Linked DNA regions of Lytechinus pictus. The protein of the gene in region 1 purifies or fractionates together with the protein of each later gene. This does not show direct contact. Links are inferred from orthologs where the notes say so. Each region holds a gene or a part of one and is shown on either strand. Other genes may lie near its edges.

Region 1 (3,929 bases):
AATATGGAATACCGTTCTTATATTCATTCGCAATACTAATTACAGGGATAAATGAATTTTGCCTAATGGTAGAAAAGTATATTTCAACGTTATGCTTATTAATTTTAGTCAAAGACGAAATTCCAATTCAGAGTGATATAAACGAAATTTATAAGTCCAGATTATTTTGTTTAATCTGTTTTTGATTGGTGGATTATGTATGGCCGTGTGCGGGTGTGTAGGCTAAGTGGGGTGTAATGGTGTGTAATAATGTATGCTTCATTTATACAGGAGTAAATCGAGTAACAAAAAGTCTGGTGATTGGACAATTGAAAGAAATTGTATGATTCGCATGAGTATAAAGATGGAATAATGTGCATGTAATTCTAGGCTATTACAGCATACAATCTAATTTCATGTTTCGGCCTCATCATCATCGTTGAAAATGTTTTTTTCTCCCCACGACTGAGGATGGAGACGACCTCGTACTTGGTATATAGTCTATACTTTCTTGCAATTGATCCCTGGAGGCAGCGGATCTTTGCTAGTCTTGAGAGCGATATCCGTGGCGAAGTAAGCCCTGAGCGAAGAGATTATAGCTCTGGTTGAAGTTAAATCAAGTGTTGAGATCTTTTTAATGGAGTTTCATGTTTCGAGACTACCACATTTTTGGCGGCAGTTATTTCCGGATTCGATCGCGGAGCGGTGTCGGATGATGGAGTGATCGACACACTCGACGTTACCCGAGTCGACGAGTCGCAGATAGCGTTACGCGGTTCGATTGCTGGTTTTGCAAACTTACTATACCGCCGCCGCGGGCTTAATTCGTGAGCCAATCGCAAGATACAACGATTATATTTTCCCTCTCATTTTTAACTGCTGGGAGATTGATACTGCGAGACCTTTTCTCGAAAAGGGCTTTATAGTTTGCGAGGATTTCGTTACCCGTTGCTACGTGCCTCGGCTAGTATTGATTGGGTTTATGGAATAAGAAAGGTGAGATCCATTCTCAAACACGATTTTTTTTTCATCTGTTGTGATGCTGAGGCTCTGTTTTCCCTTTACAGAGAACCCTCCCCTTCACCTTATCCACTTTGTTCTTATACTTGTTTTGCCAATATATTTATTTTTTGTTAGGCAGTTTGATATGATTCATCCACACCTATCCAAAACCGATGATTATTCCGACAGCCCCACCCCAGAGAAGTGAGCAAGAACTTGCATTTAGCAGAAATACAGAGCTAGCCTGAAGAAAATGACTGTCTTTCAAACCCGCGATGTCGCCCACGCTCCAAAACATATTTAATAATAGCACGGCAGCGTTGAGGCCCCAGTCTTGGCGCTTCCTGTTGCTAATGAATCAGCCTGGGATTATTTTCCCCGGGCACCGCTCCGCCAGTGCGTGTGGGTACTATGATTGTACATTCCACTCCCATACGTCATCAGTATGCTTGAAATGTCATGCCAAGCATACACGGATAGTGCGCATGTGCAGTGTAGGGTGGTTGAGTCCTGTGTGTTTGCTCGGAGCGGTGACTGCTTTACGGACAAACGTGCCAGCCAGATTCAGAGCGAGCAGCAGACGACGCATACATTTCGTTCATAATACTGCCGCGAACTTTGACAAGCGTGAGAATTTGTTTTGCCTCGACGGAGTGAAGTCATGTCACATGCAGAGCTCCGCTGAAATTCTAATACTTTGTAGTCGTGAGTTGTCTGTGAACTGGATGAGTGACATTTTCTCCTCTACTGCTTTCTACATGTGATTATTTAGACACTTTGTCGTGGAGTAAAATATTATTTTGCTACATGTTGCTCTCTCAATCCCATCTCGCCATGCATCGACAGCATTGTTACCTGTGTGATCTACCTCGGGCACCATGGGCTTTGCTGCACGATTTCTCCGAGCCCGTTTGTCGTGGATGTGTGAATTACGAGGGTGCCGATCGCATCGAAAGTGTGATAGAAGGGGCTCGGCAGATGAAGAGAGCACACAGTTTCCAGGATACAAAATCTTACCAGGGACACAAGCCAGGACAGATACCATTGATGCCTCCTCAATCTGTGAGTGTACCACCCCGACCATCTGCACTGGAGAGTGCAAATGTAAATCACGTTGAACCTTCGCCAAGGAATCCACCTGGCTCCGTAACTACACAAATACATGGTGAGAGATTCGTCACTCACGAACCCAGCCGAGCCCGAAGTATTCATGATTTCTCTACAGCCCCAAAGTTTGGATTTCCATCCAGTGAAGATTCCTCTGCGGACGGAAAACTGCTGTGTCGGGGTTCGCTTACACCAGTATCTGCACCTCACATGGCGCCCAACCTCCTCCACCACCTCAACGCACCACCTGTTTCAAGTTCAGTGTTTACCCCAAGGCATACGGTAGCACCTTCTGCAACAGGGAAGACTGCACCACCAACAACCACGCCTGGTAGCGGAACTAAAAGGAGCCTCGCAGATCGCGATAGAGAGGATAAAGAAAGTTCAGCATCCTCACACTCTGATACTGAACGCCGTGTAACACCTGTGGTTGACGATCCCTATGGACAGAAGCCGAGTACTGTTCGGCAAACCTTGGCCACTCTGTCAACGTGTACACCTTTTGAAGTAAGATTTAAAAAGGATCATTCGTTACGAGGTCGCGTCTTTGCTTTTGATGCTGTGTATCGTCCTGGATTGGACTATGAAGTCAAAATATACATTGAATATCCCAGTGGCTCAGGACAGGTATACCCAAGTGCATCAGGGGTTGCCAAACAGATGTATCAGGACTGTGTCAAAGATATCGGTAAGAGCCTTTCTTCTGGTTATAAGTATCTTGAATATGAGAAAAAGCATGGTTCTAATGACTGGCGACCATTGAGTGATTTGCTTCCCGAATCTGTTCGTTATTTCAAGGATATGGTGAGCGTAGAAAGTTTGCCGCAACCTTACATTGATGCCGGTTGTCCAGTTTTACCTATCATGACATCAACCCATGCCTCACGCTCATTTACTCACAAGAACAAGAAATTGAAATCATCACCTGAACCTCCAGAAGGTGATCAAGGGAAGCTAACCGAGGAGCAACAACAGCGACAGCAGTGGATGCAGACCCAGGCTGAAGCTCTGAAACTGACCATGTCAGCAGGTGGGTTTAGTGGCTCTCGCCCACCGAGTACTGCTACGTCTCCCATGAGTAACCCTGCCTCAGCTGGTACACCTCCTGATGGTAGCTCATCCCACGGCGGTCCGTCCCCCATGGCGGCTCTTATGTCTGTTACTGACAATTTGGGCACACCAACCTCGCCAACCAACAAGAGTGATTCTGGATCAACCTCCATGCGGCCACCCAGCAACCCAGCGTCAGGATCCAGTGAGAAGTCACAACGTAGCCCCCACTCTCCAACCACTGCACAGAGAAGAGCTATGTATCGCAGTAAAGAGTTGTCACAGGCTACTGTTCCTCATGGCCAAGAGGCTAGTGTGACCTCGAACACCTCCAATCTACCTGACTCTTCTATGCACATGATTAACATCCTCAAATGTACTCTTTGCCATGAGCGTCTTGAAGACACACATTTTGTCCAGTGTCCGTCCGTTAGCAACCACAAATTCTGTTTCCCCTGCTCAAGGGACAGTATCAAAAAGCAGGGATCTGGGTCAGAAGTATACTGTCCCAGTGGAGCCAAATGTCCGTTAGCCGGTACCAATACTCCATGGGCCTTTATGCAGGGAGAAATCCTTACCATTCTCGGAGAAGAAGTTAAAGTTAAGAAAGAACGGGATTCGTAGACTTGCAAGAATATTCTTAACATTTAGAACAGAATGAGAATATGCTTTTTTATTCTTTTGAATAATTTTCTTTAAGAATCTCATGTTTTGATTGTATATAGTGCATCATATGTTGAAAATTGGTGATACCACTTTTAAGCACTTTAAACTGCCATGACGTCACTGCT
Region 2 (3,929 bases), on another chromosome or scaffold:
AAGAACAGTTTTGATTGGTTCTTTGTCAGTGTACTGAGTAAAATGCGCATTCAATAATGATCTTGATAGGCCACTTCATTAAGCGATTAATCGCTTACCTTTGTGTTCCGGCACCCATATTAATATTTCATTCACTTGTTTTATGCCTGCATGATTAGGAAGGGGAATGCCATTCCTGGTACCAATTTTAGTTCTGCAGTTCTAATGTTTTGTTAAAACTGGTCAAGTGTTGTCACTACACAGGAGGCCTGGTGGGAGCACAAGCGAGCAAGCAGTGGTATTTTGGGGTTGGTCGCAATCCCTGGCATCTGTGGATTCCACTTCCCAGGCTTTGCCATTTCATCTTTCTAGTCTGTGTAAGAAGGCTGCATAAGTGAAGTCTTCAACAAAGAAGAAGGTTTAGCATCGGTTTTTATTGTAATCATAGAATCATATAATATTCATGTTACCTTATCTTCAAGTTCAAGTAGCGCACTGACTCCCAGTGAGCAACAGCAATTGATCCAGTCAGGTTTAAACAAGCTCCATAACATAAATAACTTTTTTGGTACTAAATGAGATTACAAAAATTGTTTTATATTGATAACAATTTTATTTTCATAATGAAGATGGTTAATGCTATCATTAGCCTATTGAACAGTATCTCGCCTTTGAACATTTCAAATCATTTTGATTCAAAATTTAATGTTAGAGGTCCACTTTCTGTTACATTTTTTTTACAAGTCCATACTCCATGATCCATTTCTGATAAAGACCGGTATGGGGAACCAAGACTATCAAACAAGTTGATGCCTGTAAGAATTTTGTTTCATTACTTGCAAGGGATGCTCGCAGAAGATGCCGGCTCCTGATTGGATGTTCAGTGCCATGGTTAGTTAGACTGATGAGTGGTAGTAGTAACGGTGGTGGTTGGATCAGAACTTTGGGACGGAACCACAGATCAAGTGTGTGCCAGTGCTAGAAGATGCTGATGGAATGGTCGGTAGTGTGTTTTTGATTGAATTCTTTGAGGGATCCACTTCCTGCGACCTGTTTCAATCTCTGTGGGTGTACGTTGTGACTTTGATATTCCTGGAGCCAAGAGTATCTCCTGTTCGCAACTAGTCTGTGGTGATTCTTTCATCACAACTTGCTGTGGATCATCCAGACCACAAGTTAAAGACCATTTAGACCAAGATCTTGGGTTCAGTTGACCTGGCCAATCTCTGGCCCTTGTGTTTTATATCTTCTAGAAACCTCACCTTTGTTCTTGAAGTGGCAAGATGGAAACAATGAGCTATGCGCCATTCTTGACATGTTTCAATGCTTTCCATCTTCCCTACTTATCTCCTCCAACAGGTAGGTTAACCCTTTGACAACTAAATTATCTTATTTTCATAGGGAGACTAGAGGGGACGACAAAGACATACATGTAGTCCTAGATTCCCATACATGTACATTGTTGTTGCTGATGGGTTCAAATAGTGGAAATACTTACTCTGGGTTTTTTTAAATGTCATTTATCGAGTCAATATATTTAAATTTATATTTCTTTCATTGTATTTTGCATAGAAGTTTATTAAATATAACTGAAAATTGTTTATTATTAGCTTATAGTAACTTGATTTACAAACAAGCAAATGCATGTATTCTTACGATAATAAATAAACGGTTCTTGTATAGTGCATATCACATCTCTATTTGCTTCCAAATTTAATAGGGACATGGATATCATTACCTCAGCGTTATTGTTTTTATGCATTTTATTGTTCAGTGTTCAGGATTTGCTTTGCAGCAGGGCACTAAACAAAACTTCAAAAGCTAACGGGCAAATTGCTCCTCAGATTTCTAAAAAAAAAAAGTGTTACATGTAACTGGTACGGGGACAAAGTTAATCGCGCATGCGTCTGGTGTTCACCACGTCATTTAGTGTCAACTCGACAAAACATATGCCTCTAGCTAGTTTACTTGTAGGGAGTGAAATGTGAATATTAATTATTATTTAAGCAGGGATTTTTTTTTGTGTGTGTCATCTTTCCTTATTTCTTTCAGTAAAATTATGATTTTGTTACTTCTGGGCCCCATCTTACAAAGAGTTACGATTGATCCAATCAATCCCAACTATGGAAAGCCAGCAACGACAACGCCTAAAATACATGTTTCTTCAAAATATTTTCTAGTTATGAGTATATATTCATACATTAACTGTTTTCTTGATAATACAGTATGCTTCTCTTTGTTTTCAAAGGAAATTGTGCAAATTTCCTAAAGAAAAAAATTGTGACACTGATGGATTTCCATAGAGTTACGATCGATTGGATCAATCATAACTCTTTGTAAGACGGGGCCTAGATAGTTTATTTTGGACCTTAAACTAGCCCAGGGCTACTTTCTTGAAATCAAGAACAAGTGGGGCAAAAAGAGTGTCAAATCCAAAATGGATGGGGGCAAGCCCCTGTCCACAACAGTCTACAGAGTACTACTTTGCAGGATCCAGGAATGGATTTGAAATTTCCTTTTTATTTTCTAGAATTTGAATGTTAATATACTTGAAAGAAGTTGGTTGCCCCAAAATATAGTGCCTTCCAGGCAAAACTAAAATAATTGTAAAAATGGATGGTTATGTACATTTTCATGTGTACATGTGAGTTTTAGATATATTGAAATAGACAAGTGCCTAGCTTTAACTATCTATGCATTCACTCTCGCTACTGGAGTTGGAAGATAAGATGCATAAATTAGCTCTTTTTTCATGATTGAAAAAGATGACTCATTTTTTTTCAGCGTCACTGTTGCCAATGTGTCTGTCTCTCCTCGTCAGATGGCAACTTGGAGAGGTGGAACAAGAAATAAGAGAAAAGAGATTCATAATTGATGCATACCGATGCGGAGAGTGGATGATAGGTGGATGCTGCTACATGAGCAATGTGTATGACAGTTTGTGTGTCTGCATGTCTATTGATGTATGTGTATGGGTGTGCTTTAACTCTGCATGCACCATACATGTACAGAAATTTTCATGAATGAAATGGAATATATACTGTCTGCCAGACAAAATCGCAAAATAAGCATCTCTTGTAGATTTTAACTCAAATGATAAACTCTACAACTGCTCAATGTAGAATATGTGCGATAATGATTGAGAATGATTGATCTGCACTCGACCATACAGTGTACACACAACCATAGGGATTTCAAATTTTACATTCAAGTACCAACCATGCTTTTTAGTTTGCTGGTGTATTGAATATATATGAATATATTTACTGTACTATAAGCCACATGTATACTATTTTGAAATCTCGTATTAGAAATGGTCCATATGTGTTTGATATATTTTGTTGCATTGCATTTACTATTGTAATGCATTATGCATCCATTTTGATCATACAAAACCAGAAAATGATGATGATCATGCACTTGATGAACTAATATATAATTGGTCTATGGATTAAAGGGAAGGAATATTGGGGTTATTAAAAGGAGCCAATTGTAAAATATAAATAAATATATATATCATGATGCCTCCCGATGGGCTCTGGTAGCTTTACTTGTCTTAATTGTGGAAATCTAAAAACCAGTATGATGAAGGGGAGAAAATTATAGATTCCTCTGGGTAATCCTTGAATATTTTGAGGGTGTAGATGGACATGGCATTTGTTCTCTCTGCACAACGTTTAGCAGAAGAATTTGCTCAGTTACACCAGGGAGTTTGGATAGAACTCCTTGATTACACTACCTACTTTACATGTACATGTATGTAATGTGTGGTTTTTGTATGGTGTTGAGATGACATTACTATCATAGTGAGCGTGTGAGTCATACATGAATTAAATACCTTGGATTCAGGTCGTGTACCATGCGTACATTGTGTGAAATATTCCAATGGTGAACATGTCCACAGTACACAGACCAACATTTGTGATAAAGCAGCAAAAATACCCCCATTC

Evidence for each region.
Region 2: the proteins of probable E3 ubiquitin-protein ligase IRF2BPL (region 1) and transcription cofactor vestigial-like protein 4 purify together in Homo sapiens (affinity purification with mass spectrometry; 3 studies listed by BioGRID and IntAct, counting the BioPlex papers as one, with this or other methods). This does not show direct contact. The link is inferred for Lytechinus pictus from reciprocal best matches to the Homo sapiens genes IRF2BPL and VGLL4.

What each region holds. Positions count from the first base shown.
Region 1 is NC_087251.1:17,905,016-17,908,944, reverse strand, and holds the start of probable E3 ubiquitin-protein ligase IRF2BPL, read left to right. Parts: upstream 1-1,317; 5' UTR 1,318-1,788; coding exon 1,789-3,762; 3' UTR 3,763-3,929. UniProt on the Homo sapiens protein: Probable E3 ubiquitin protein ligase involved in the proteasome-mediated ubiquitin-dependent degradation of target proteins. Through the degradation of CTNNB1, functions downstream of FOXF2 to negatively regulate the Wnt signaling pathway.
Region 2 is NC_087247.1:40,157,109-40,161,037, forward strand, and holds the start of transcription cofactor vestigial-like protein 4, read left to right. Parts: upstream 1-813; 5' UTR 814-1,262; coding exon 1,263-1,338; intron 1,339-3,929. UniProt on the Homo sapiens protein: May act as a specific coactivator for the mammalian TEFs.